7 linked regions of the Rattus norvegicus genome follow. The main gene of each other region encodes a partner of the protein of the gene in region 7 in a complex. Links are inferred from orthologs where the notes say so. Each region holds a gene or a part of one and is shown on either strand. Other genes may lie near its edges. The genes, in order: Cdc40, Lsm3, Cd2bp2, Bcas2, Crnkl1, Prpf6 and Snrnp40.

What was found.
Region 1: Snrnp40 (region 7) and Cdc40 share a complex: the UniProt entries of both Homo sapiens proteins name them as parts of the postcatalytic spliceosome P complex. The link is inferred for Rattus norvegicus from reciprocal best matches to the Homo sapiens genes SNRNP40 and CDC40.
Region 2: Snrnp40 (region 7) and Lsm3 share a complex: the UniProt entries of both Homo sapiens proteins name them as parts of the U4/U6-U5 tri-snRNP complex. The link is inferred for Rattus norvegicus from reciprocal best matches to the Homo sapiens genes SNRNP40 and LSM3.
Region 3: Snrnp40 (region 7) and Cd2bp2 share a complex: the UniProt entries of both Homo sapiens proteins name them as parts of the U5 snRNP complex. The link is inferred for Rattus norvegicus from reciprocal best matches to the Homo sapiens genes SNRNP40 and CD2BP2.
Region 4: Snrnp40 (region 7) and Bcas2 share a complex: the UniProt entries of both Homo sapiens proteins name them as parts of the postcatalytic spliceosome P complex. The link is inferred for Rattus norvegicus from reciprocal best matches to the Homo sapiens genes SNRNP40 and BCAS2.
Region 5: Snrnp40 (region 7) and Crnkl1 share a complex: the UniProt entries of both Homo sapiens proteins name them as parts of the minor spliceosome. The link is inferred for Rattus norvegicus from reciprocal best matches to the Homo sapiens genes SNRNP40 and CRNKL1.
Region 6: Snrnp40 (region 7) and Prpf6 share a complex: the UniProt entries of both Homo sapiens proteins name them as parts of the U4/U6-U5 tri-snRNP complex. The link is inferred for Rattus norvegicus from reciprocal best matches to the Homo sapiens genes SNRNP40 and PRPF6.

What each region holds. Positions count from the first base shown.
Region 1 is NC_086038.1:45,862,979-45,866,478, forward strand, and holds part of Cdc40 (pre-mRNA-processing factor 17), read right to left. Parts: intron 3,076-3,500; coding exon 2,960-3,075; intron 1,920-2,959; coding exon 1,786-1,919; intron 1-1,785. UniProt on the Homo sapiens protein: Required for pre-mRNA splicing as component of the activated spliceosome. Plays an important role in embryonic brain development; this function does not require proline isomerization.
Region 2 is NC_086022.1:125,576,702-125,580,984, forward strand, and holds the start of Lsm3 (U6 snRNA-associated Sm-like protein LSm3), read left to right. Parts: upstream 1-1,483; 5' UTR 1,484-1,583; coding exon 1,584-1,604; intron 1,605-2,285; coding exon 2,286-2,396; intron 2,397-4,283. Other genes in the region: Xpc (DNA repair protein complementing XP-C cells), read right to left, coding at 1,231-1,324. UniProt on the Homo sapiens protein: Plays a role in pre-mRNA splicing as component of the U4/U6-U5 tri-snRNP complex that is involved in spliceosome assembly, and as component of the precatalytic spliceosome (spliceosome B complex).
Region 3 is NC_086019.1:191,241,092-191,245,222, reverse strand, and holds the start of Cd2bp2 (CD2 antigen cytoplasmic tail-binding protein 2), read left to right. Parts: upstream 1-1,331; 5' UTR 1,332-1,343; exon of another isoform or gene 1,344-1,357; intron 1,358-1,390; exon of another isoform or gene 1,391-1,429; intron 1,430-1,823; exon of another isoform or gene 1,824-1,829; 5' UTR 1,830-1,852; coding exon 1,853-1,930; intron 1,931-2,131; exon of another isoform or gene 2,132-2,133; coding exon 2,134-2,266; intron 2,267-2,388; coding exon 2,389-2,546; intron 2,547-2,651; coding exon 2,652-3,087; intron 3,088-3,161; coding exon 3,162-3,268; coding exon of another isoform or gene 3,269-3,343; coding exon 3,344-3,454; 3' UTR 3,455-4,131. UniProt on the Homo sapiens protein: Involved in pre-mRNA splicing as component of the U5 snRNP complex that is involved in spliceosome assembly.
Region 4 is NC_086020.1:193,379,585-193,383,799, forward strand, and holds the start of Bcas2 (pre-mRNA-splicing factor SPF27), read left to right. Parts: upstream 1-1,415; 5' UTR 1,416-1,432; coding exon 1,433-1,525; intron 1,526-1,611; coding exon 1,612-1,704; intron 1,705-3,041; coding exon 3,042-3,112; intron 3,113-3,623; coding exon 3,624-3,785; intron 3,786-4,215. UniProt on the Homo sapiens protein: Required for pre-mRNA splicing as component of the activated spliceosome. Component of the PRP19-CDC5L complex that forms an integral part of the spliceosome and is required for activating pre-mRNA splicing.
Region 5 is NC_086021.1:153,804,815-153,808,968, reverse strand, and holds the start of Crnkl1 (crooked neck-like protein 1), read left to right. Parts: upstream 1-1,354; 5' UTR 1,355-1,440; coding exon 1,441-1,491; intron 1,492-2,867; coding exon 2,868-3,020; intron 3,021-3,513; coding exon 3,514-3,605; intron 3,606-4,154. UniProt on the Homo sapiens protein: Involved in pre-mRNA splicing process. As a component of the minor spliceosome, involved in the splicing of U12-type introns in pre-mRNAs.
Region 6 is NC_086021.1:189,115,465-189,118,964, forward strand, and holds part of Prpf6 (pre-mRNA-processing factor 6), read left to right. Parts: intron 1-2,189; coding exon 2,190-2,284; intron 2,285-3,030; coding exon 3,031-3,187; intron 3,188-3,500. UniProt on the Homo sapiens protein: Involved in pre-mRNA splicing as component of the U4/U6-U5 tri-snRNP complex, one of the building blocks of the spliceosome.
Region 7 is NC_086023.1:147,983,327-147,987,589, reverse strand, and holds the start of Snrnp40 (U5 small nuclear ribonucleoprotein 40 kDa protein), read right to left. Parts: upstream 2,801-4,263; 5' UTR 2,762-2,800; coding exon 2,618-2,761; intron 1-2,617. UniProt on the Homo sapiens protein: Required for pre-mRNA splicing as component of the activated spliceosome. Component of the U5 small nuclear ribonucleoprotein (snRNP) complex and the U4/U6-U5 tri-snRNP complex, building blocks of the spliceosome.

The sequences.
Region 1 (3,500 bases), on a different chromosome or scaffold from region 7:
CCTATAAGCATGACTATGAGATAGAGGAAGACACCTGATGTCCTCGTCTGGCCTCTGTATACATGTGGATGGTCATGTACACACACACCCTCACATGTGTGCACACACCGCATGCTTACATGCAAACCGAACAACAAACCAAACCAAACAAAGACACTCAGTGTCCACATCAGATTCTAGGTAAGAAACGGCCTCTCCTTCTTTCTCTCTTTCCCCCTCCTCCCCACCCTTCTTCCTTTTTCCCCCACTGTGAATGGAACCTGGGGGCCTTGCAGTGCTAGGCCTGCACTCTCCCACTAAATCTCTAGGCCTAAGAAGTACCTTTTCTGAAGAAGACCTAATCACTGAACAGTGATCAGTAAGCCTGCAGCTAAACAGTAAGGTAAGATACAAAGTCCAGTCAGTGTCCTCGGTGATAATCTGGAAGGACAGTGTAGGTGTAGAAATGGACATTTGCACTGAATCCGAATTGACCTCAATTATCCCGACAATAATGAGGGCCTATTCTGCCTACTTGGCTCTCCCAGGGAGTCAGTCTGAGGAGGCAGCCTCTGGCAGTGGTTCAAGGCTGCCACTTTCTCTTAAACTGCTACTTCTAGGGGAGGGAGGGAGGGAGGTGCCCTTTCTAGTCCCAGCCAGGCTGTGTCTCCACTGAGTTCGCTGTTCTGTGTGACTAGAAGTACAAGCTGGGCTCCACCCAAGAACTGATTTTAATTAGAAAGATTACTATGTATTTCCTTCAACTAAATCATAAAAATATCAGGATACTTAATGAAACCAGCTTAAGGATTTACTATTTTGACTTTAGAAAAACAATGTTCTTTGGATAAAAGGAAAAAGTAGTCTCTATATTCTGATTATATTCAACAAGCAGGATGTTTAAAGCTGATGATATGAGGCAACTCAAGGCCTGGATGGTTACAAAGCAGGCCAGAAGAAAACGATGTGGTGTTTTCCTTGGATTTGTTCTGAGGCCAGGATCTCTACGTGTGACTCTCACATAACTAAACGTAGCCAAATATCCTATACCTCGCCCGCCATTTTGTAAAGATGAATAAGGTATTAGTGAAGCATGTGAGGGGGGCTTGCGAGATGGCTTGGCAGGTGAAAGAAAGGGCTGCCGTGCAAACCTCAGGACCTGAGTGTGCTCTCTAGAACTCACCACTGGAAACGTGAAACACACACACACACACACACACACACACACACACACACACACACACACTCCCTCTCTCTCTTTACCCCCTCTTTCTCCCTCCCTCCCTCTCTCTCTCTGTCTGTCTCTCTCTGTCTGTCTCTCTCTCTCTCTCTCACACACACACACACACACACACACACACACACGCACACGCACACACTCAATGTAAATCAGGGCTGGAGAGATGGCTCAGCAGTTAAGAGCACTGGCTGTGGTTCAATCCCCAGCACCCACACGGCAGCCCACAACTGTACTCCAGCCCTAGGGGATCTGACACCCTCACACCAATGTACATGGAATAAATTATTTATAATTTATTAAAAAAGGAATGTGAGATGTGACAATTATCATGATCACAAACAACAACAATAATAAACCAAGTTTAAATCCATGTACTCTTGGGAGAGTCTTTAAAGATTGTGAAGGGTAGTTATAAATGTTTAGATTTCAATTTCCAAATTGTCAGTATTTAAATAATTACCACACTTTAGCTGGAAGACAAGAAAATTGTGGCATATTATCAAGCTTTGGCTATAATTTTTTAATTGCTTGTTTCGTAAGTCGGGTTTTTTCTGATGAACACTCACCATTCCCAAACTCGTAGGCTTTTATCATCAGACGTACTCACAAATCTTCGGTTCTCATCCACAAAGACAATCGTGTTGACAGCCCCCAAATGCCGATCGTACTCTTGAACAATCTCTCCGCTGCGAATGTCCCACTGTGAGCAACAAGGGAAGGCACACACAGAGGTAGGAGCACTCATGAGGACAGCCAGATACACTTAGGGACAGACTCCTCGTGCTCCGTGTCTAGGGACTGACTCCTCCCACTCCATGTTTAGGGACTGACTCCTCCCACTCCATGCTTAGGGACTGACTCCTCCCACCCCATGCTTAGGGACTGACTCCTCCCACTCCATGCTTAGGGACTGACTCCTCCCACTCCATGCTTAGGGACTGACTCCTCCCACTCCATGCTTAGGGACTGACTCCTCCCACTCCATGTTTAGGGACTGACTCCTCCCACCCCATGTTTAGGGACTGACTCTTCCCACCCCATGCTTAGGGACTGACTCCTCCCACTCCATGCTTAGGGACTGACTCCTTCCACTCCATGCTTAGGGACTGACTCCTCCCACTCCATGTCTAGGGACTGACTCCTCCCACTCCATGCTTAGGGACTGACTTCCCACTCCATGCTTAGGGACTGACTCCTCCCCCTCCATGCTTAGGGACTGACTCCTCCCACTCCATGCTTAGGGACTGACTCCTCCCACCCCATGTTTAGGGACTGACTCTTCCCACCCCATGCTTAGGGACTGACTCCTCCCACTCCATGCTTAGGGACTGACTCCTTCCACTCCATGCTTAGGGACTGACTCCTCCCACTCCATGCTTAGGGACTGACTCCTCCCACTCCATGTCTAGGGACTGACTCCTCCCACTCCATGCTTAGGGACTGACTCCTCCCCCTCCATGCTTAGGGACTGACTCCTCCCACTCCATGCTTAGGGACTGACTCCTCCCACTCCATGCTTAGGGACTGACTCCTCCCACTCCATGTTTAAGGACTGATCCTCCCACTCCATCTCTAGGGACTGACTCCTCCCACTCCATGTCTAGGGACTAACTGCTACCTTCTGAGCACAACACAAGTGGATGCTCAAAGTGGCAGGCATCAACAAAATGAATGCTGTTCTCTTTCCTCAGACAACCTAAAGCTCACAAATCCTGACAGACATACTGAAGAAGGACTTACCTGTACAATCTTTTTATCAGACATCCCGGCCACAAAGAGATTCTGCTTATCTTCATCGGGATTGAACTTGACGCAATAGGGTACTTTGCGGTTTGTAAATCTTGATATACACTGTCCTAGACAAAGAGTCAAATTAAACAGAAACATAAGTCTGACTCCCAGAGGATGGCAGCAGCATGAAGACCTACTGAGTGGTCCTCACTGATTCTGAGGAAGGGTGGCTCGACTCTTAAAACCACCACATGGGTACTTTCCATAGAATTTTTTTTAAATGATTAAAAATATTTTTTTCAGGGGCTGGGGAGATGCCGCAGTTGGTAAGAATGTTTTCTGTGTAAGTGTGAGGACTTGTGTTTGAATCACCAGGCATGGCTGTGCATGTCTGTAAATGCAGCACTGGGGGCAGAGACATGAATCCTGGGAGCTTGCTGGCTAGCCAGTGAGGCAGTGAGGCAGTGAGGCAGTGAGCCAAAACTGGGAAGCTTTCAGTTCAGTGAGAAACCCTATCTCAAGGCAATGAAGTGTACACACACACACACAG
Region 2 (4,283 bases), on a different chromosome or scaffold from region 7:
CTACCTTAAGATGATCATGGAGTGTCTAAGACCTGAAGCAGAGAGGAAATTAGCACCAGCAAGAGCCACAAAGAACATTCTAAGCCAAAGAAACACCAAAGGCTGAGCCTCCAGATAAATAAACAGTAAGTCTAAAGAGGAGAAAGATGGTCAGAGAGAACCAGGCATGGTGACATCTGCAATCCCCGTGATCAGGAGGTAAATTAGACTGGAAGATCGACTTCTAGGCCAGCCTGATATTTAAACAGGAAAAAAATCAAAATAAGAGTATCTGGAGAGGAGACAGAGTAGAATTGTGACAACCTCCAAATCTTGTGGGAAACAAGCTAAGAGAGGTAGATGCTATACTTGGAGAGCATAAACCTAAGGAGGTTTTAAGTAAGAAGACAGAGGCATAAGGTTTTGTTGTGGTTCTACATCCATTTGGCTGCTAGATGATGGGGCAGACAGATGAGAGGAAGCCAGAAAAGAAGCAACCTGAAGTTCATTTCCTTAACGATATGGACAAGATCTCTAGCTATAAAATTAAGAGAATTAAGTACAGATTTCGGTGGTTCCAAAGCTGAACTGGACTTGATGCCGAACTGGCAGTTAAGAAGAGATGTGTTCTAACGTGTGTTTTAAAAGGGATGATTTATTGAAATAGAACAACTGGGGGGATGGATATGTTTAAGGGGAAAGATGGATCTTGTTCAAGATCTAGATTAAAAACTCATTCCAGCCAGGGCGTAATGGTGCATGCCGGTTAATCCCAGCACTAGGGAGGCAGAGACAGGCGGATCTCTGAGTTTGAGGCCAACCTGGTCTACAAAGCAAGTTCCAGGACAGCTAGGTCTACACAGAGAAACCCTGTCTGGAAAAACAAAGCAAAAAACAAGAGTAACAGAAAGCGCATCCTAAAAACCCGGAGCTGGAGTTACACTGGATGGCAGTCAGGAACTTGATGAGAGAGATCTCTCACTACAGGTCTCCCTCGGTCCTGGTTTTTGGCATCTCCTGAGATACCAGGCAATTGCGAAGCTTTCTCCAGCTCGGCCTTCAACACTTGCTATGGGGCTGAACTTGGTACTAAAGGTTAACCGAGGGGTTAAGACAGATAGCAGAGGCCCTCGGGGGCTGGAGGGGGGACGCATCGGGCCGTAAAGACCTTGCGGTAGACACAGATCCGCTCCGCCGCCCGCCCCAGCCTCCGCCACCATCGCCTGACATGCTGCAGACTTGGCCTCTCACCCGCATCGCTCTCCTCAGGCCGGGTTGCTTTGTTGTCCTCGGCTTCCTGGCCGCGCTTCCTCCGCTTTCCGCCTGCGGTACGCTTTCGGGCCATGCTAGCCAGAGGCGTTCCTCCGGACAACCACGCAGGACTGCCGAAAGTCTCCGCGTGCCGGCTCCGCCCCGAGGCGTGCCATGCCTGGCCGCACCCCCAGCTCCGGATAGGACCACGCCCTCCAAAAAATCCCGCCCCCATGCAAACTACAAGGGCGCGAAGGGACAAAAATAGTGTAGTTCGCCTTCCAGTGCGTGGCGGCCCAACGTTTCCTAGTGTCTGCTCTCGCGAGAGGTGGAAAGGGCGCAGCGTTTGAAACATGGCGGACGACGTAGATCAGGTAAGTTTGTCCTGGGGCGTCCGAAGAGGAAGTGCTTTCGTTTCTTAGCCGGGCTTGCTTTTTCCACGCTTCCCGTGGAATGGCCCTTTTCTTTTTCCCGAGTTCCCACGGCCTTCCGCAGCCAGGCCTGCTCCTAAAACTTCCGTAGGCCCAGAGTTTCTCAACCCGCCCATCTGCCCATCTCGCTCGTCGTCGCCCTTTCTCTGTAGAATGCAGACGGCTGTGGATATCCCATCTATGGGAGATACGGTCGGGATTCCGACAGAAAGAGTACTGTAGCGGTAGGACACCAGCATAGTAATACGTGTAAGCACCTGGCACGCAGGCAGTGGCTCACTTGGAGTGTGTTACGAGGGGAGGTCAGATAAAAGGTGCAGTTATGTGAGATAGAGAAACTGCTAGAGATGTAGTATATAGAAAACAAGCAAAGACCTGGCACACAGTGTTTCTCTTCAGAGCATGTTGTTTTAAATGTGTTCTTTATTTAAAATGTTCGTTCCACAACTAGAATATAAGTTCCTTAATAGGGATTTATTGGGGCTTAGTGGTTAAGAGCACTTTTGGCTCTTGTAGACAACCCTGGCTGTGTACCAACACCCACATGTTGCTTTCACTGCTTAACAGTGATTGAAACACCACACTACCTCAGTGTTCCATTACTAAGCCTTCTTCTCTCATCAGCAACAGACCACCAATACCGTAGAGGAGCCCCTGGATCTTATAAGACTCAGCTTGGATGAGCGAATTTATGTGAAAATGAGAAATGACCGAGAGCTTCGAGGCAGATTACATGTAAGTCTGTTAAGTTATCTCAAAACCAGATGCTCCCCTGTCATCCCTTCCTACCTCCTTACAGATAAGAACTGCAACATAAACTTATTTTTTTTAATTATACAATGACTTTTGGGAGTTGGAAATTCCTTTATTGGCTTTTAAAATATTTTTTCCTTAACCAGAATGTTTTTTAGAGAGGGATGGGACTCCTGTGAGACCAGAACAAGGCATCTGATTGCCCAGAGCTGGAGTTACAGACAGTTGTGAGCTGCCTGGTGTGGTTGCTAGGAGCCAAACTCAGGTCCTCTGCAGGGATAACCAGTGCTCTTAATTTGAGCATCTCTACAACCCTGTAGAACACTTTTGTTTTCTTCAGCTTTGTCCTCTGTTTATTTAAAATGAATAAACTTCTTTTTGTTTTAGACAAGGTCATACTATGTAACCCAGCTAGCTTCAAACTCAAGATCCTCCTGCCTCTCTCTCCTTAGAACTGGGATTTTAGACATGCACTACCACTCTTGCCATTGTCCTATGTTTTTAAAAGTTATTGGACAGGGTGTTTTGGTTTTCGACATATAAAACTCTCCTTTGACATGAAAAAAACTAAATAGCAGGCCAGAGATCGTTCACCTAGTATGTGGCAAAGCCCCTAGCACTACCAAAAAAAAATTAAACACCATAGAAATCTAAAGGTGAAATTCCATTTTCTCTGCACTATTCAAAGTTGGCTACATAGTCGTCCACATCTTTTCTGCATGTGTATATGCTGTCTGTGTTTGAAGGAGGATCCTAGTGAGGTACGGTGGCATGTGCCCATAATTCCAGTACTTAGATGACTGAGGTAGGAAGGTCATATATTTGAGGCCAGTCTGGACTACATAGTGAAACCTTGTCTGGTATGTACACACCTTTTCCACACGGTTTCTGTGTGGAATGATTATGCAGCTGACACAGTTGCCCAGGATTCTCTATAAGGCTTCGGTCACTTTTTTGTTTTTCCAGCCTTAAAACTGCATTGTGCACTTTTACATATATTGCTTGTGCACATTTATGATGCCTGTGGAATTGGTCCCTTGAAGTAGCATTATTGTGCACTTAGGGTTTTGTCTCTTCTTGTTACTTTCCTCAGAGCTGTTGGTTTACAACGGGAATTGGAATTAAGTCTTTTTAGTTCAGGCTTAGAAATAGCCCCATACTGGCACCCACAGAGCCAGTGTGGGGGACAGTCTCAGTCTTTCTTCTATGAAGAAATTTTTAGTTCTTTCATGAAACCTGAGGATAAAGAACCTCTGTGACTTGGAAGGAAATTGGACTGTTGATCTACAAGCCAGCATTAGGGAAACAGCGGTGCCAGTTTGGTGAGAAACATGGGATGGAGCTAAATTGAAAGGCTCTTCGGCACATGGAATGACCCCAGGCTAGACCATCGCCTTTAGTTTGGAGGTGTCTGAAGCTCTTACCTCTGTAGTAAGTGGCCCAGGTTTCTGTTTCCTCCCTGCTCTCCAGCTGAACATTTTGCTCATTTGTGTAGCTGCCAAGCAGTTCCTTCTCAATGTGGCGCCTGGCTATTTTTAATCTTGATATGAGCAGGCAAAAGCACTTAGCACTTTGTTAGAAGAACATATAAGTGGGTTCTGAACAAGCCCCAGGAGGTTTGCTGTTAGTAAAAGGGATGAACTTTGGAGGTTGCACTAAACACTGTGGTTGCAATCCTTCCTGCCTGAGCCCACAGATGCCAAAGCATGTTAAGCTCTGGACAAGTTATAAATGGGCAAAGTAAAGGTGGGACAGATGATTGGTGGGTAAAGTTTGAGTGCTGAAGTTTAGATCCCTAACACCTGTGGAGACCCCAGAACAAGCTCTTGCGTTCAACTTAAAGACACTACCTTAATACATACGGTGGGG
Region 3 (4,131 bases), on a different chromosome or scaffold from region 7:
AAATTGTCCAGCTCTTGTTTTCTGTGGCAAGCTTTTTGCCCTCCAGTCTGGGTCAGGATGATAAAGTCTTCTGATAAAGCTTTTGTGGCCATAAAGCAAGAGTTCCACTTGGCAGATCTTCTTCAGGATGAGGATCAGGGTGTGGTCTCCAGGTAGAAGAGAAAATTCCTTCCAGATGAACCAGTAGTGCTGAGAGCTGGTGTTTTTTCAGGGTCCTGTCTATAGCAAGATGCTCTCTTGGTGTAGGACTTGTGTTTCTTTTACCTACAGAAGAAACTAAGATCACACCTTCAATGAAGTTTCACAGTGATTCAGAATGGGAGAAAACCCTGGAGGAGAAAGGTGGTGTCCGTTTGGCCACCCTCTTCCAGCTCTAGTAGGATCACCTGAGCTATCTAGCCTGAGGGTGGGGGTGGGGCAGAGGTGTTCAGGTTTTGAGTTTTTTCCCAGAGCTCCAGATCTAAACCTCACTATTAAGTTAGATCTCACTGGTCCCACCTTTGCAGGAGCTGAATTTCAGCACCTTGACAGTTTGCTAAGGGGTCGGGGTAGGCTTCATCTTGTAACTAATTCAAGAGCTTTTTTGGGACCTACACCTGAGAGCAGGGCACCATGGGCTTCTGCCTAATTACTCAGCACCAATGCCAGCGCCACCTCCTGCGACGGCTGTCCCACTACAGAAACTAGGAACTAAGTGGGGGAATAGACATGGTGCAAATGACTTCCTGGGTTCTAAAAGGATTTGGTTTGGAAAGTGCCCGAGTGCTTACAACCAGAAGCAGGACTCAGGGAGAAAAAGATTTAAAAAAAAATAAATGGTCTCATGTTGTATCGCAGACTGGCATCAATCTCGCGACAATCCTGTTTCAATTTCCTGAGTGTTGGGATTGCGTTAAACTCGGAAACCCGAGTTTCTACTGAATGCCATTAGGCGTACATAATCCTATCCATAAATGCAAACTGAAACCCAAGGCCCCTGTTCGGTCTGTGTCCCTCCAACCGGGCCTTGGGAACCTCTTTTAGCAAACAGAACGCCACGTCTTCACCGTCTCCTCCATTGCAGAGGAATAATAAAACATTTCCCGCCATCTTCAAATCCCGTGAGGCAAGTACGGAGTTCACGCGAGTCTTTGCAGGTCTTACGTTACTTCCTGCGGAGAGTCGGCCTTGGCTAAAGGGATACATCCGCCCGTTCTGCCAGTCTTTTGGATAGAAGTGAAGCCACTTCCGGGTCCTATGGCAGTCTTCACAGTCTTTTTCCGGGTGATGGAGGCGGATGCCCCGGATGTAATACCGGCGAAAGCATCTTTCCTTTTCTTTCCCGTCTGACCCTGGATTCCTAGGTGAGCGTCAGCGGGTAAGATTGTTTGAATCCCTGCGGCTTTGCCTCGCTTCTAGCTTCTACGCCGAGTTGGACATGGCCGAGCAGGTCGCTATGTGGAATTCGGGTTCCGAGGCTACTAAGGCGCCAGCTCTTGCGTCCGACCGGCCTCTGAGGGCACTCGGGTGGGAGAGGTGGTTGAGCTCTGTAGCTTCGGACTGGTAGGGAAGTGATGACGTGGGGGGAACCTGCTCCCTACCCTCCCACACACCTAGGTGGGAGTACCCACAGGGTCCACGCGGGGGCGGAGATCCTTCACATGTTCTCCCTTTTGGGCCCCTGCATTGCCAAATCAATTCCGGACGTCGTACCTGCTAGTTCTTTCAGATGGTTTAGTGATCGGTCCTCTCTCAAATTTACCAGGAAAAATCTTTGTGGAGCCTGTACACTCTCGCGGCCCTCTCTTGTTACTTAATTTCCTCACTTCCTATCTTTTCCCGAGGTCCAGCTGGAGGAAATCTATTGCCAATCATGCCAAAGAGGAAAGTGACTTTTCAGGGTGTTGGAGATGAGGATGATGAAGATGAAATCAGTGTTCCCAAAAAGAAGGTGAGATGGCCAGATCTCTAAGTTCTATGGAGGCCTAAGGGGAAAGGAGAGGGAGCAGTCCAACGGGAGAAAAGCTGGAAGCCAAGGAAGGGTTAGTTTTTCCCAGTCACTGGGTTTGGAAGGATTCGAGTTTATGTACAGATCCTGGAATATTCGAGGAACTAGCCAGTCTTCCTTTCTCATTTACTTCGTCCTACTCATAGCTGGTGGACCCTGTGGCTGGAGCAGGTGGTCCTGGGAGCCGCTTCAAAGGCAAACACTCTTTAGACAGTGATGAAGAGGATGATGACGAGGGGTCCAGCAAATACGATATCCTGGCCTCAGAGGATGTCGAAGGTGAGCTATTTCCAAAGCATTAACTGTGTTGGAGGGACAGGTTTTAAGTAGGGAGGTGGGAGGTGTACTGCCTGTTTCTTTTTTGCATGTCTAGCATGGGGCCCCCCATGTCTTTGGTGCAGGTCAGGAAGCAGCTACTCTCCCTAGTGAGGGGGGTGTGAGGATCACACCCTTCAACCTGCAGGAGGAGATGGAGGAAGGCCACTTTGATGCAGATGGCAACTATTTCCTGAACCAGGATTCGCAGATCCGAGACAGCTGGCTGGACAACATTGACTGGGTGTGGCCCAGGATCTGTCCTGGCTGAGCTCAGCCTGGGAATGCTGGTGCTGGGCCTGGGTCCTGGTGGAGTTTGTAAGAAACGATAACTATCTTTCACTTATAGGTGAGGATCAAGGAACGGCCACCTGATAAGCAGCAGGTTTCGGACTCAGAGGAGGAAGGCAGCCTGGGTCAGACTCCAATGAGTGTCCAAGCCCTCCTGGAGGGACTTCTGGAGTTGTTACTGCCAAGAGAGACAGTGGCTGGGGCACTTAGGCGTCTGGGGGCCCGAGGAGGAGGCAAAGGGAACAGCAAGGGGACTGGACGGCCCAATTCTCCCCAGCGTCTAGACCGGCTATCTGGGTTGGCTGATCAAATGGTGGCTCGAGGCAACCTTGGTGTATACCAGGAAACAAGGGAGCGTTTGGCTATGCGACTGAAGGGTTTGGGGTGTCGGACCCAGGGATCCCATGACCCCACACCTCCACCCTCCCTGGACATGTTTGCTGAGGAAGTAACAGAGGGGGAACTGGAAACTCCAACCCCTACCCATAGAGAAGGTAAGAAGGGCACAAGAGGGGCAGTGTGGGCAGGAGACCGGGTGCTTGAGGCCCAAGTTTCTTCATTGTTTTAGAAGCAGATTCAGCTGGAGATGGTCTGATGGATGTGATGTGGGAGTATAAATGGGAGAACACGGGGGATGCTGAGCTGTACGGACCCTTTACCAGTGCCCAGATGCAGGTAAGCCCCTTCCCGCCCTGGCTGTCCACCCCAGCTTCTGTCATCTTGCCTCAGTTTTGTCCTCTGTTCTTACAGACCTGGGTGAGCGAAGGTTACTTCCCGGATGGTGTTTATTGCCGGAAGCTGGACCCTCCAGGCGGTCAGTTCTACAATTCCAAGCGCATTGATTTTGATCTCTACACATGAGCCCGCTAAGGGCCCCGTTTGGCAGCCCCTTCTTTCTTGAACTTGGCAGAGGAGGTCCCAACTGCCCTGGGCAGTGAGGATATTGGAGGCCACTCTAAAGCCAGTGTCTCTTTGTCAATAAAAGCCTTGAGTATGCATCAGGGCCTTGACTGGGCTAATGGCCAAAAGCCAAGGCTTCTCCATAGCTCCTTTTGGCTTCACCTGGTGGGTCCTTGAGTTTCCTCCCAAGAGACTTCCTCTCATGCTTCTCTGGTGTCTTGGACCACCTCCGTTTTGTTTCCCACCTTGGAGGCAGAGGGAGGGCCCATCAGGTGTCCTGTGTAAAATTCCCTCTATCACTCTGTTCTCTGTCATGCTGATCTTGGCTTTTAGGACCTCACATTCTCTGCCCTGGCAGCTCCTTTGTAGCTGGGACATTAGGAAGACTTTGAAATCCTATTGGGAGATCCTCTTAAACATGGATTCTCCCCTTCTCCCTAGTCTGGTTTTACTACCCCTCACCCTCCTGCAGTAGTTTCCATAGCTCTTAGGTGAAGTATGAACTTGGTAGCACTTCAAGGTTACTTGGGCCACCATGTGATACAGCGAGGGGCAAAGGGCAGGGACTTACTGGAGACCTCACAGTAAACTAGAGAGGTGGCCCATTCACCTATTCCCTGACCTTTCTTGGCATAAGC
Region 4 (4,215 bases), on a different chromosome or scaffold from region 7:
GGAGTAATATTCTATTACCACAAATCCTAAAGGCAAAGGGATTGGGTTTTATATAGGCTCTAAAGACAAAAATGACAGGATTTTATCATTAATCTTTTTAATCCTGATCACAGCCTCCCCTCCATCCTGTCCTACTCCCTCCCTCTCACCTTTCCTATCCCCATCTCACCCCACCCTTTCTCCTCAGAGAAGGGGAGGCCTCCCGTGAATATCAACCAGCCTTGGTATATCAGGTTGCAGTGGGACTAGGCACATCTCCTATTGAGACTAGATAAAGCAGCCCAGTTGGGGGAAAGGAGTCCAATGGCAGGCAACAGAGTTAGACAACCCCTGCTCCAGCCATTAGAGTCCCACATGAAGACCAAGCTGTACATCTGTTACATATTTGTAGGGGCCTAGGTCTGTCCGTTGTATCTTTGGTTGGTGGATCAGTCCCTGTGAACCCCTACGGGACCAGGTTAGTTGATTCTGTGTTTTCCTGTGGTGTCCTTCCTCCCCCTCTTCCACAAGATTCCTGGAGCTCTGCCTAATGTTTGGCTGTGGATCTTCGCATGTTTCTAACAGCTGTTGAACATCATGAATAGTGTCGGGGTGGGCTCTCTCTTATGGGATGAGTCTCAAGTTGGGCCAGTCATTGCTTGATCATTCCTTCAGTTTCTGGTCAATCTTTATCCTCATACTTTTTATAAGCAGGACAAATTTTGGTTTTGTGGGTGGGTTGGTGTTCCCATCTCTCCATTAGAAGTCTTGCCTGGTTCCAGGAGGTGGCCATTTCAGGTTCCATATCCCCTGTTGCTTCAAGTCTTAGGGTAAACCTCAAGTTTCCCTTTTCCTAGATTTCTAACTTGCTCCAGAGTTGCCCCTGCTTCGTGGCAGAGCTTTTAAAATGAGGCATTTTGTATATATAATACAGTCCTGGGAGGGTTGAGGTGTTTGCAGTGCCAGGGACTGAATTGGTTTTGCCATTGAGCCGCATCCCTCACTCAGGTTGTTAGATCTAAAAATTTGATTGGAAAATAGGCGCAGATTTCTAGTTTCTATAAAAGAACATTCTTAAGGGGCCAGCTGCGAAATGAGGATAAAACAAGGGAGTGCTTAGAAGCCCAGCACCATGGCGAGTTTAAACAATGGAAGGTTAAAGGATGTGGAAATCTATTTCTCCCCTCCAGCCAAGTCCAGCAACCGCCTCTTCCCAAGTCTACCCTACCCACTCCTTCGAAAATAACCCACGCGGTACCCATACAAAGAAAGTCACCCTGGCATGTCAGCATGTGATAACTAATATTAGAGTCTAGCGGCTACAATTACCAACTGCACAGGCGCCGGAAGCGAAAAGCCAGAGGCAGCGTGACGTCATTCCAGGCGCAGGCGCAGAGAATCTAATCGAGCCTGCGCAGACTCAGAAGGCGCTCTTGGAGTACAGTGCCGCGCGATGGCGGGCACGGGCTTGGTAGCGGGGGAGGTGGTAGTGGATGCGCTACCCTACTTTGACCAAGGCTATGAAGCGCCTGGCGTGCGGGAAGCGGTGAGTGCAGGGCATGTGCGGCGGGGCCGCCGGAGGCACGCTGCTGCCCTTTTCTCGCCGCGACCCCGGCCTGTTCTCGTTCTTAGGCTGCGGCCCTGGTGGAGGAGGAAACGCGCAGATACCGACCTACCAAGAACTACCTGAGCTACCTGACAGCCCCAGATTATTCTGCCTTTGAAGTAAGTGTGGTGTCCTGGGCCCAGCACTCTGACCAGGAGGCTTGCGGACTTTGATTTCGGATTGAGAGCTTTAGCTGTGTAAAATGAACGTCACCTTCCAGGCTAACTGGTGCTTGCTGCTCATATTGAGTGCCATATAGGTATCAGTCGGTTCAAACCACCAGATGAGCTTTTCATAGGGTCTGTACTACAATAACCCGCGAATGACTTCATTGGTTTCTGCAGACTTGTTGAAGAGTGCTCCCCACGCCGTGTCTCTGTGTGTGTGTGTGTGTGTGTGTTTTAATATAAGAGTCATAGTATATTTCACAAAAGAACCCTTTATTCTCCAATGTCTATTCAAAAACAGGTATTAGATTTTAATATTTATAATCTTAGGTGCCTGTACTCTTTGCCACCACTGGAGGGAGATTTTTGTACCAAGACTCCGATAGTTAGCAGGTGTATGAATGCCTGAACAAGTACGTCTTAATGGTTATCCTCAAAGTGCAACCAAAACACCATTTAGGCCCTAATCAAGTAAATGTGCGGTGTCGTTTCTAGATTAATGAATTCTGTTAAATTTCAGTCCACACCTGTTCAGAGTTTCTCCCCACCCCCACCCTGCTACACTACGAAGATGTTAAAATACTTTCAGGCTGAAGGAGAAGGAGAAAGACTGCTCCATGTACAGGGATGTGTGATTCTTTCGGATCCAGATCCCAGGTTTTTAAACTGGGTTGTGACTCCTCAGTGGGGGTTTCATAACTGATGTGGGAGCTGCAAGAAATTTGGCAAGAGTAAAAAGTACTAACCCAAAAATTAATTGGAAAAAAATCAAGCCCCAGATCCAAGTGCTGGTCCATGTTACATCATGTGACTTCACAGGTTACGCTGTGTCAGACCGTCATGCAGCACCAGAGACTTCCTGAAATGATTCAAGACTGTTACTTTATGTTGTGAATTATAACGTGACATGGGGCTGGGGTTAAAGTTGTTTTCAGAGTTCCACAACTGATTGCAGAGCATTGAAGACTGCTGATGTAGGGTTAATCCTTGACAGCTGGGCTCTTCTAGGTTCACCTCCTATCGTGCCTAGGTAGAATATGGAATTAAAGAATATGCCTATTTCTTCAGATTCTAGATAGCGTTAACCTCAGAGCAAACTGAGGGGTGTGTGAGGGTGTAGTATAGTGGTCCTGGGTTCAAATATTCGCATCCTTTTTATTTGAGAAGTAATTGAGAGAGGAGAAAAGATTCACTATAATGTATAGTATAAAGTATAAAATATAAGTAAATTACATTCATTATTTTCAACATGATCCTGTCACTAATTCTTTGTGTTGTTTGTGCATCAGACAGACATAATGAGAAATGAGTTTGAAAGACTGGCTGCTCGACAACCAATTGAATTACTCAGCATGAAGCGGTAAGATGAGGCTAAGCTGTGGTAACCGCAGCGCTGCCAGAGGTTGGGAAGAGTGTTTGCTGCTGGGCATAGGACGTGGGAATAGAGAGAACTGTAATCATCATTACTACATTAAAAAAAAAAAATGCTAGCAGATATAATACAGTATTTTTAAGCAACTTTTTAAAAAGCTGATAAGCAGACTTTATGTAAGAAGGGTCATGGTAGACGAACAAGGACAAGGGACATGAGAGTCTCTGTGACTCACAGCTTATTTACCTAGTTTACATTTATGGAAGTAGTTCTTTGTTACAGTATACAACTGTGTTTTTATCTGTCAAGATCAGTTTCCAAACTAACAGGTTTCTTTGTACTGCCTGGCCTACATTGTGTCCTTGGTCTTTTGCACATGCAGGGTCATGGTCAGGGGTTGATACTTTGTGTCTCTGCCTTTATGTAATGGGCATATGTCTGTGGAAAGGGGTGATGAGTCTTTGCGAGATACATTGGTTTATTTGTTATGTAATTTCAGATATGAACTGCCAGCCCCTTCCTCGGGTCAAAAAAATGACATCACTGCGTGGCAAGACTGTGTAAACAATTCTATGGCCCAGCTGGAGCATCAGGCAGTGCGGATTGAGAATCTGGAACTGATGTCACAGCATGGGTGTAACGCCTGGAAAGTGTACAACGAGTAAGAGGCGCTGGGCTCTCTCTTATCCTGTGCCACCCAGGGTGGTATGTGCATGCTTATCATTCCAGCACTTGGCTGGGAAGCTGGGGTGTGGAGGAGGGCCTGCCTGGCTTATATTTTGAGTTTAGTCACCCTAGGCTCACCTAGCAAAACTGCATGTCCAAAATAATAATAGCAGTTGTGCTAGACTTGACTTGGGGCTGTATCAGAACAGAGTGAAAGGCTGCATCTCGAGTCCTGCCTTAGAGTTCACTAATGCTGAGCTCTTTTACGTCCACATAACTCCCACACTCACTGTGCGGTATAAGAAAATGAGCTCTGAGGGTGATCTGCAGAGCACCACTTGATAAAATGCAGTCCTTAACGTGTGGATGCTTAAATAATGGATTCCCATGTTCATGTATCATGGTACTTAAGTCTTGAACACAGA
Region 5 (4,154 bases), on a different chromosome or scaffold from region 7:
GGGAATGGGGTAGATCCCGGGGAAAGCTGGAGGAGTGACTATGATTAAAATGCAAAACTCAAAGAATTTTTAAAAAATGCTTACAAAAATGAGTATTGGGCTGGAGAGATGGCTCAGCGGTTAAGAGAACTGACTGCTCTTCCAGAGGTCCTGAGTTCAATTTCCAGCACCCACATGGTGGCTCACAACCAACCATCTGTAATGGGATCTGATGCCCTCTTCTAGTATGTCTAAAGACAGTGACAGTGTACTCATATAAATAATAAATCTTTAAAAAAATTAAAAATTGAGTATTGGCAGTCAAAGGCTCAAGGGGAGAAGGATGAACAGGCAGTACCCTGAGGATCTTAATGGCTTGGAACTCTGTAGATTATAGAAACAGCAGACACAGACTATCTTGCCTTTGTCCTAAATCTCAGACAGTACAAGGGTGAACTGTAACAGCCTTTAACTGATAATGTGTCAGTGTAAATTCACCAATGCTGACGATGAACCACCGTAGGGGTGGGAATGGATCGTAGAAAGCCCTTTGAGGGTGGGGAAAGAGGGAGTAGGAGAAGCTCACCTTCCCAATTTTACCGTCAATCTCAAAATTTTTATTTAAAAAAATTATCTTAACTATATGCTCAGTAACTCTGTTTCTGAATGTACGTCGGATAGTATACATACTAACATCTAGCGAGCACTTTACATAGACAGATTTTCTCTTTAATCTTAAGGAAATAGGTATTTCTCTCATTTTATAGTCAAAGGATAACAGAATTGAAATAATGAAAACAAATTTACAGACTAAAAATTTGGTTTTTGTACCAAATGTACCAGTTTCTGTAGATGCTTTGCTACTAATTTCCACCTTTCTCTAACATCTTGTTGCAAAAATACCTCTATTTAAAAAAAAAAAAAAAAAATCCACGTTTCAAGATCATTAACTTGGCCCAATCGCGAGGAAGCCCGAGACGAGGGGGCGGGGACTCAGAGACTACAAATCCCAGCATGCACCGCTGCCCTGGCAGCTGCTTGCAAGGCTGTGGTTTCCTCCGCGCTCTTCCCTTCTCCCTCTTGTTTCCACTTCCGAGATGGGTTCCTACGCCCCTTGTCAGGTGCCACTACCTACAGCTGCACGCATCTTAGAGACGGACCTGGGTGAGCCCTCGCCGCCCGAACCCCATGTCCCTGCGGCGCAGCCCGCGCTACCCACCTCACCCGCAGTCCCAGCAAGCGGCGCTGCTCCTCTGAGGACGCGCACACGGTTGCTACGGAAACGACGCGGCGTTTCCCCTGACTGGTGAGGCGGTCAAAGGTCGCCTTGGCAAGTTCCGGTTCCGGTTCCGGGATCTAGTTTGTTGTGGGCTGGCTCTGTGGTGCTGGCCGCGGGATTTTGAGGCGTGTATCTGAAGTCCGGGTGTGGGCCAGGGTCGCTCGCGTTCCGCGGCTACAATCATGGCGGCTTCCACGGCAGCCGGGAAACAGCGGATTCCTAAAGTGGCCAAGGTAAGCGACCTCGAGGAGCCTCAAGCACAGCATCTGTGGTGTGGGGCACTAGAGATTCCGGACAGAGATCTTTGTGCCCTGGTCCAAGAAGACAGGTGGTCCATGGTGAGGTGGCACGGGGTCTTGTCACTCCGAGTTCGTCTCGCGTCTGCCCAGCCTTCGTTCCAGGGTGGTATTTTTGTGATGCAAAGCATCAGTTCGGTTCGGTAAACTCATTGCTTTTCCTAGTCTCTGGGGGTCCCCTACTTTTACTCGAGGCTACAGTGCTCCAATAAAACTGGAGGAAGGGCGAAATAGCAACCTTGATAGATGTAGCCTAGTCCCGTAGACTATGCTATAGGCAAGAACCAGAAGGGTGCCAGTAAACTTGAGGGTAAGCTTTGTGAAGGAAGCTAACACTGGAAGGCTGCGTCAAAGTTAGGCAGTGGAGGGGATGGGAGAGGACAGGCTCTGTGCAATGGCATCATTTAGGTTGGACAGTAAATTATTCTATTTCCAACGGTGGCTGATACTTCACCAATGCTTAATGAATATCAAGTCTTGCACTTAGCCATTGCATACAATCTTTCTCTGGTTTGATTCTTCTAGGGCCTTTTGGTCTTGAGACAGGTTCTTATTTCCACATGTAATTGTAAAAATCTAATGTGGTAGCTTTTCCCCTGCATCCTGAGTCATAAAAACCATGGTATGTGTCCTGGCTAGATTTTTTGACAGCTCGACACAAGCTCAAGTTATCTAGAAAGAGGAGTCTGGACTAAGAAAATTCATCCATAAGATTGCTTGTATGCAAGTTACTGATTGGTGCAGAGGGCCCACCCTACTTGGGCAGTGCCATACCTGGGCAGGTGGTACAGAGTAGTATGTAAGAACAGACTGAGCTTAGCTTGTATATCAGTCATGCCTCCGGCTTCCTGCCCTGACTTCCTTTCATGATGGACTCGTGGTCCAGTTGTGTAAGCCAGTCAATCAGCTCTCTCCTCTGCGGGTTGTTTTTGTTGGTGTTGTTCTATCACAGCAGTAAGAAAGCAAATTAGAACAGTATGTTTGCACTCAGGGTCCATCTACCTTGAACACGTTTGACTTGTGGCTACCGTGTTGGAACTAAAGCGCTTACAGGCTATTGGTGGAGACTTTGTAAAAAGAACAGTTTCAGTTGGCCTAAAATGTCATGGAAAACCAATTTGTCCACTCGAGGGGTTAGAGGAGTTAGTTCTCTGAGCAGGTGATAAAGAGGAAGTGGTACGATTTTCCCCCTGCCCCCGGTTCTGTCTCATGGAGAATTGAGGGTGTCATTCAAAGATGGCATCTTGGACTCATTCTTAGATCTTGTGTGGAGAACACTACCCAAAAGCAGGAATGTCTCTTTGTCCTAACAGGTGAAGAACAAAGCGCCAGCAGAGGTGCAGATAACCGCAGAGCAGCTCTTAAGGGAGGCTAAAGAAAGAGAGCTCGAGCTCCTCCCACCCCCACCTCAGCAGAAGATCACAGACGAGGAAGAACTAAACGATTACAAACTACGGAAAAGGAAGGTGAGTCTGTTAAGAATGCACTGCGTACGTCTGTCCAAGTCGCCCCCCACAGTAGGAGCGAGGGCCTGGGAGAGAACTCTGAAAGGGCCTATGTGATCGGACCTCAGGCTAGTATTTGGGATTATTTAATGCACTAATATCGTGGAAGTCATACGTAAAATTCTACGAGTTACCGAGCACTTGAAGGTAATGTTAAAAGTTGTTTCAACATTCTTATTCTTAATGAGAGTAGAATTTATTAAAGCACTCGTTGTTAATTGCTACGGAGAACAGCAAAGCGTTCTAAAAGACACACCTTACATTTTTCTTGATGTCACCATAAACTTTAGAGAAACACCTGTCATTGTCCCCCTTCTGGAGGAAGGTTCTTGTTCCTCAGCATCTAGGATATATTTTCTCTTAGAAAGAATAAAATGAGTGCTGTATATTACAAGGGGGAAGCAAAGTCATTTTCTCTTTGATACACTCTCTTCACTCCCCTTTTGCCTTTCAGACTTTCGAAGATAATATAAGAAAAAACAGAACTGTGATTAGCAACTGGATCAAATACGCACAATGGGAGGAAAGTCTGAAGGAAATTCAAAGGTAAAGTGCCACGACTATAGTAACTGTCTGCAAAGAGTGTGCAAGCCAGCGTGTGAGAGCTGGGAAGAGGAGAGCAGGGAACTGTGCCGTGTCAGCAATTTCCAGCTTCTTTCCAGGGAGCTCTCTGAGGCACTCACTGGGAAGGACAGTCAAGGGGGTGTCTCAGGAGGTTCTAGATGTGGGTCTTGCTGCTAGTACTCCTGTCGCTAAGAACAGTGTTTTGTCTGTTTTCTGTGTTAATTGGATATTGTTTCAAATATAGGAGTGTTCTCCTGAAATCTGTTGTCAAGATAAAAATCATGGTGGCCTTCACTGCCCGTTGACTAGCCTTTCTACCCTCGTACCCATGTTCCACTGTGACCATGTCCTTGCCAATCCTGAGCACATCATTGCTCATTACTGTGCCATTTGTTTGCTCTCTGCCTTGACCCCTTGAAGGCACCTTTTCTTCACCAACCTTGACTTCTGAACAAACTGCAACTATCTCTCCCATTCTCAGTTCCAGGAGCTCCTGCAGCTTAGCCTGTTTCACCAAACATTGCCATTTCT
Region 6 (3,500 bases), on a different chromosome or scaffold from region 7:
TTTGTTTGTTTTTTTTTTTTTTTTTAAGTTGGCAAATAAAACAGAATGCCCCTGCACATGTTCTTCTTGGTATTTTTGTTATTTTATTTGAGACATGATTTGGCATGTTATTGGCTGTCCTGATCTATGTAGACCAGGCTAGTCTTGAACTTGTAATCATTTGCTTGCCTCTGACTGCCAAGTGCTGGTATAAGCTACTGTACCTAGCTTTCTGGAGGAAAGGAAGATAGTCTCGTGTAGCCTAGCTGGCTTCACACAAAGTGTGTAGCCAAGGATGGCCTGATCCTTCCACCATGATCTTCAAAGTGCTTGGATGCTAGGCGTGCACTTCCATACCAGTCACTAGAAAAACAACGCTTTTTCTCCTGTTCCCCTTTTTCTGTGCTCTGTGTTTGTTAACCTGTCTTTTCTTAAAGAGTGTTGGATAGTGTGCTGGTACACCCGTAATTTCAGTACTTAGGAAGCTGAGGCAGGAGCATCACCTTGAGCCTGAATCCAGCTTGGGTTATAATATGAGATTCTGTCTTTTAAAAACATTTTTAAAACCTTCAGCCGGCGGTTTGGGGAGACGAACCTTCCACCTTAGACCATGGCCAGGTTCATCCATAACTTCGCAGAGAAGGTACCATTGATGGTGGCCGCTGCCTGACTTACTCGAAGCCTTGATTGGCCACACTTTGGCACTACGCCAAGGTTGAGCTAGTTCCCCCAACCCCTGGTGAAATCCCTACAGCTATTCAGAGCGTGTAATTCAAAGTGCTAAAACTGGTAGCTTCAACCACCTTACAGTTAAGGAAGCTGTGCGAAATGGTTTGGTGGCCACTGAGGTGTGGATGTGGTTTTACATTGGAGGGCTAGGATGAAAGCCGTGCTTCACCTTGGCCGGCTTCTTTTTAGTTTTTTTTTTTTTTTTAAGATTTATTCATTTATTATATATAAGTACACTGTAGCTGTCTTCAGACACACCAGAAGAGGGCACCAGATCTCTTTACAGATGGTTGTGAGCCACCATGTGGTTGCTGGGACTTGAACTCATGACCTCTGGAAGAGCAGTCGGGTGCTCTTAACCGCTGAGCCACCTCTCCAGCCCTTCTTTTTAGTTTTTAATTTTGGAAACTGATACTCAGTAAATTGTCTAGGCCAGTCTGGAACTCATTCTGTAGCCAGGTAAGCCTTGAACTTTGGTCATTCCTGCCTTAGCCTTCCAAGTAGCTGGGATTACTGGTCCGTGCTATCAGACACGGCTTATTATGGCAATTTAAAAATTTATGATTAAGGGGCTGGGGATTTAGCTCAGTGGTAGAGCGCTTGCCTAGGAAGCGCAAGGCCCTGGGTTCGGTCCCCAGCTCCGAAAAAAAGAACCAAAAAAAAAAAAATTTATGATTAAAATAGTAGAATGAGCTTTTAATTCCAGCACTTGGGGAGGCAGAGGAAGGTGGATCTCTTGAGTTCAGGGTTAGCCTGGGCTACAGAATGAGTTCCAGGACAGCCAGGGCTACACAAGAAATCATGTCTCAAAAAAGAAAAAGATTAGTACAATGAACTTCCATATTGAAATTTAAAAAAAAAAAGTTGAAATTACCAGCCTTTTACTTAAGACTTTCTGGACTTAGGTCCGTCTTAAAAAGACATTTTTTTAAAATATGTTTTCTTGAAATTTCTTTTCATGGAACTTTTAGGATCAGTATCTCTATGTGTCTTGGTTACTTTTATTTTCTCTTTTCATTTCTTAGAAGAGAGACACTCTAGAGTGGCCAAGTTTTTTGAAATCTCAAAGCCCACCTCCAGTGGCACATCCTCTCCAACAGGGCTACACTCCCTAAGCCTTTCCAAATTGTTTCACCTACTGGGGACCAAGTATTTGTATATGAGCCTATGGGAGCCATACTTAAGTGTTCTGAACTGCTGAGCTGTCTCTCCTGCTTCAGCCTCTAGGTTTTCTATTGATTTATCACTTTCAGTGATGCCGAAATTAATCCCGCAACATTAATCCTTGTAGAAGATTTCTACACTTTTCATGTAGAAGACATTTTCTCATCACTAACTGTTGTTTGAGTCACAGTAAGATTGTTTTTTCCTGACTGCTTTTCATGAGATTTGTCGGGTGGGCCTTCAGGGTTGTTGGTAATTCGTTGTTTTAAACATTGCTGGTCATGACTAGCTCATTCTCCCCTTTACCTATCTCACAGGTATCTGACTCAGTGAGTGGGCAGACTGTTGTGGACCCCAAAGGCTATCTGACGGACCTAAACTCTATGATCCCAACCCATGGTGGCGATATAAAGTGAGTATGCTGCAGAATTGATGGGTTGAAATGGGAACTTTAATTGCTTACTATGTTGTGGAGTTTTTTTTTTAAAGAATATACAGTCAACCCCAAAAGTACAACAATGCCAAGCAACCAGAGCTTCCAGGGACTAAGCCACTACCTAAAGACTATACATGGACTGACCCTGGACTCTGACCCCATAGGTAGCAATGAATATCCTAGTAAGAGCACCAGTGGAAGGGGAAGCCCTGGGTCCTGCTAAGACTGAACCCCCAGTGAACTAGTCTATGGGGGGAGGGTTGGGAGGGGAACACCCATAAGGAAGGAGAGGGGGGAGGGGGATGTTTGCCCGGAAACCGGGAAAGGGAATAACACTCGAAATGTATATAAGAAATACTCAAGTTAATAAAAAAAAAAAAAAAAAAAAGAATATACAGTCAAAATATGACATGGATGTTCTGAGAAATTAGAAGTGTATTTGTGTTCTTTTACTATGTATATTAAATATTTTACAAATAATAAGGTCAATGCCTGTGGTGAGCTAGAAAGCAGCTTGTAGATTGTCTGGTGTTTCCTGTCTGGATATTCAGGCTTCAGTTTGTTTACTCAGTGCCCCCGTAGAGTAGCTCTTTTGGATTTTATGTCTTCAGCATGTTTCCCTTAGCAATTTATTCTGTGTCTTAAGGGGATGCCTTCTCCCAGGCTCTTGCCACACCCTCTAATAGTGTGGCCTGATTTTTTGTGCCTTTTGACCTTTACAGTGACATCAAGAAAGCACGACTACTTCTTAAATCTGTTCGAGAAACAAACCCTCATCATCCACCAGCCTGGATTGCGTCAGCTCGCCTGGAAGAAGTCACTGGAAAGTTACAAGTGGCTCGAAACCTTATTATGAAAGGGACAGAGATGTGCCCCAAGGTAAAGCCATAGCAGCATATTCTCTCGACAGCTGCATGTGCCCATACTAGAGTCAGAGCAAGGTTATGAACAGAAGGAAAGGAAAGTCTTTACGACTTTTGTGTGGAGCAGAGGCTGGCCTAACATAATGGCAGGGTCAGCATCACTGAAAGTGATAAACCTGGCAGCTTGTCAGGTCACACAATATAGAAAACCTAGAGTTGACTCAGAAGAGATGGCTCAGCGGTTGAGAGCATGGGCTCGTCTTCTAGAGGACCTAGACTTGATTTCCAGGTGCCATAGGGCAGCTCACAGCTGCCTGTCATCCAGTTCC
Region 7 (4,263 bases):
TCTGCTCACAGAACTCCTCCTGCCTCTGGATAATCCCGTGGACAGTCCAGCGTATGCCCTATGTGCTCTCTCCTTCCTAAGGCTGTTTTTGTTCCACAGCCAACTTTTGACTGCTTGGTCACATTGAACTCCTTTATGCCTCAGGGTCTTAACAGAGAAAGATGTCTTCTATAGAAGCACTCACCTTATTTTGTGTCTGTTAAGTATTGCCTCCCCAGAGTCTGTCTTTCATCACTCACACTATTTTGAGTGAGGCAGCCCCCCTACCCCTTATTCCACTGGGTCCAGGGCACTCTGTCAAAGCCCCATCACTACCTGAACTTCCTTCTCTTACATCATTGCTCATACCTTTCTTTTTCCCCAAAGAAATGAAGCTCTGGTCGTTCTCCATTTTTCTGTCTCTAGTCCATCCAGTTAGCCTTTGAAAAACCCAGTGGGGTACAGTTTATTATGCAAAATAGATTTTGGGGCATGAGCGGGGTGGGGGGGGTCTTTTTTTTTTTCTTTTTTCTTTTTTTTTGGAGCTGGGGACCGAACCCAGGGCCTTGTGCTCGCTAGGCAAGCGCTCTACCGCTGAGCTAAATCCCCAACCCCGAGCGGGGGTCTTAATATGTAGCCCAGGCTGGTCTTAAAAATTTTCAGTCCTCCTAAGTGCTGGTATGACAAGTGTGTATCACTGTGTCAGGCTTAGCAAAGTAGATTTGATTGTGTGGTCTTGCACACTAAACCTAGGCAACCTTGTCAAATAAGAACCAGTGTATTACCAATAATCCTGAAGTCTCTTTAGTAGATCCCAGTATACTTACTTATTTTTATTATCATGTACTAACTACACCAAGTAATGGGTTTTATTACGAAATATCCATAAATGCAGATAATGTCCCATGGTCATACTCATCCAGTATATTTAGTCACAAAAATGTTACCTGTTGGCTAGAGAGATGGCTCAGAGATGCTCTCCTAAAGGACCCACATTCAGTTCTCAGCATCTTCAATGGGCAACTTTCAAGAGCTGTAACACCAGGTTCTGAGAATCCAACATTCTTTTTTTTTTTTTTTTTTTTAAGATTTACTTATTCATTTATTATATATAAGTACACTGTAGCTGTCTTCAGATACACCAGAAGAGGGTATCGGTTCTCTTTACAGATGGTTGTGGGCCACCATGTGGTTGCTGGGAATTGAACTCAGGACCTCTGGAAGAGCAGTTGGGTTCTCTTAACCGCTGAGCCATCTCTCCAGTCCAGAATCCAACATTCTTTTCTGGCCTCTGAGCCCCAACCCCAGCGCACACACACCTAACATATCTAGGCGCTGGAGAAGACAGCACTTGGTAAAACAATAGACCTTGCATTCTAGTACAAAGTGTGAGAAAGGCAGACAAGCAAACCCAAGTAAAACACCCCCTGTTGTGTGCCATGGGAAGAAACAATATGGGTTCCAGAGTGCAGGACACTTCAACCTAAAATACAGTTGTCAGAAGAGCCCCACTGAAAAGCTAGTATCTGAGCAAAGATTTGAAAGAGTCAATAGTTGACCATGTGGGCATTTACAAGAACATCCCAGCCAATGCACCACAGAAAAAGTAAGAACATATATGTGTGTGTGTGTGTGTGTGTGTGTGTGTGTGTGTCTGGAGCCAAGTGACATGCCAGAAAACTAGTAGATGAACAAGGTAAAGAGGGGAATTATTACAGAGAATTTCCTTTTTTTTTTTAGAAGGCAAGGATCAAGGTTACACAGTTCTCTTTCCTTTCAACAGGATTTTGCCATAATAATAGCTTAGATGCTTGAAGTCCTGGATCTTCCAGCCCCAGTTTCTCAAGTGATGATTATAAATGTGTGTATCCAGCTTTTTTGGGGGGTGGGGTGGGAGTGTCTTTCTATGTTGTACAGGTTGGCTTCCAATTCCTTCCCTTAAAATTTTCTTGTCGGTCTTCTGGAAAGCTGGAACTACAGTCCCACACGCCTTGCTCACTTTATTTGTATATTTTAAAGACCACCGCAAAAGGATTTGGTTAAAGAGTTGGGGCAGGAGTACACCTATTTCCTCATCTGAACGTGTGGCGGGTGTGATTACTATTTTACAAGACATGTAGTTAAAAGCATGGGTTCTGATTCAAAAAAGCTTGCTTTCCCCATTTTGCAAAATAACAGCTGCTTCCAGGCTGTTATCAAGATTAACGGAAATTTCACACGCAAAACATCCAAGAACCAACTAATGTTAATTACTATTATAAATGCAGAGAAAGAAAAAGCTGTACCAGGTAGCAAAGCGAGCCACTATCATTCATTTGCATTGCTTCTCCTCTCATTCATTCATTCGTTCACTCTGCCAACTTTCCTGAATGTTTCTTTTATGCTAAATCCCTGAAGATTTAGGATGCGGAAGCTTGGGTCTTGACTTTGAGGCCAAAGTTTTAAATGATTCAATGCCCCGGAAGGGCTAAAAACAGGCGTCTAACAGGGAAACACGTATGGAGCACACACAGAACACAAGGCACCTTTACAGAGGCCTATTTTAACTTCAGGCTCACTGCTTTTCCGTTCCTGCAGAGCTGATACCATCCGTAGGAAGAGGGGTTGGGGGCCGAAGGGGGGATGCCTCCTCACTTACCGTCTGCAGCAATGCCCCCGGAGTCGCCTGCTGTTGCCCGGCTCCGGGGCCGGATCCTGCGGCTCCCAACAGCAACTCATGTCGCGGCCGCTTGACGGGAACCAGGGGTAGCTCTGGGCCCTTGCGTTTCTGCTGCTCGATCATGGCGGCAACCACTACCCTCGGCGCCGCCAGTAACCGCGCCGCCTGCAGCAGGCGTTGCGCAATTGGTTTCAACTGAGTTCTTCCTCCAGAACTTCCGGAAGAGAGCAACCAATCGATTTCTAACATTTCCTTCTGCAACGCCCTCTGAATACACTCTTGCGATTGGTCTCTTCTTGATGACGTCACGAGAACTCCACTCTGGATTGGGTCGCAGAACTGACGTTCTCCTCCGCCCCCTCAGGCGCGCCGTGCATTGTGGGTGAGAACGAGCGGAGCAGATTCAGTGTTCCTAGGGATGAAGCGGCTGTCCTGTTAGGAGCGGACGCGGAGTGAGTGTGTGGGGAATCAGGCGGGTGGTTGTTACAATTTGGAAGTTACGAGTCAGGCCTGAGCCTACCATTTTCAGCTACCAGCTTTGGCAGCGGGGTGTGGCAGGGGATGTCCTCGGAAAGAGTCCCCGGAAAGAGAAGTCCTTTGGTAGGCTGGAGCAGAGCTTTGGGATCTCTGGATGCAGGACTCGAACTCTCAGGCCGCTATTCATTGACAGCTGCTCTGCAGGATGCCGATTCTGGATCCCACTCTGTGCTGGCCTTCCCAGGCCCGACTCCCGGCCTCCAGGCTTCAGTGCCTGGCTTGGCTGAGGCGGCGGACTTAGTTTTGTCACTGCTTTAGCCGTCTTTTCTAAGGACTTATTTATGTCCCCGAGACAGCCAGCGATAAGGAAAGTATCAGATGGCTCCCCAAAGCACAACTTTATTGAGAAGTCAAATAGTCGTGCTTACGTACCAGGCCTTCTCGAAAGTGGTCCATGGGGTTGGGGATTTAGCTCAGTGGTAGAGCGCTTGCCTAGGAAGCGCAAGGCCCTGGATTCGGTCCCCAGTTCCGAAAAAAAGAACCCCCCCCCCCAAAAAAAAAAAAGAAAGTGGTCCAAATGGTATTTATGATGCAGTGCGTTGGAGGTCATTCTGAAGAAACATGGTCCCCTACCTCAGGGTGTGGGAAACGTGTTAAGCAAATCTCACCAGTTGATCGGAAGACTACCTGAACGAGCGATGCCTCATGCTATGAGTTACTAATAGAAGCTTGAAGGCTTTTCAAAAGAAAAGATGGCTGAGCTGTTCCTATCTGATGGGACAGTTCTAATTATGGGACGAGAGAAAGGGAGAACGTTCTGCACAGAACAGCATGTGCAATGCCCTATCAGTTGGGAAGATGACTGAGACACAGTGGGTCTGAGCGGGTGTGCTGAGAGAGAGTGATTGAAGTGACTATGGTATGGGATGAACCCGGAGGTCATGAAGATTTGCAGGAAGTTGAAGCTTTTACTTTAAAATCAATAGGAAGCCAGTCAAAGTTTTCTCTCTTCTCCAGAATGTGGTGCAGAAGATGGCTTGATCCCTCAGACTTAATGGTGTGATGAAACTGGAGAGATAAGGGGAGGTTTACTGGGAACAAATAGACCATTTTGGGAGCATGAACAGTAGTTCTGATCAGCAATGTCA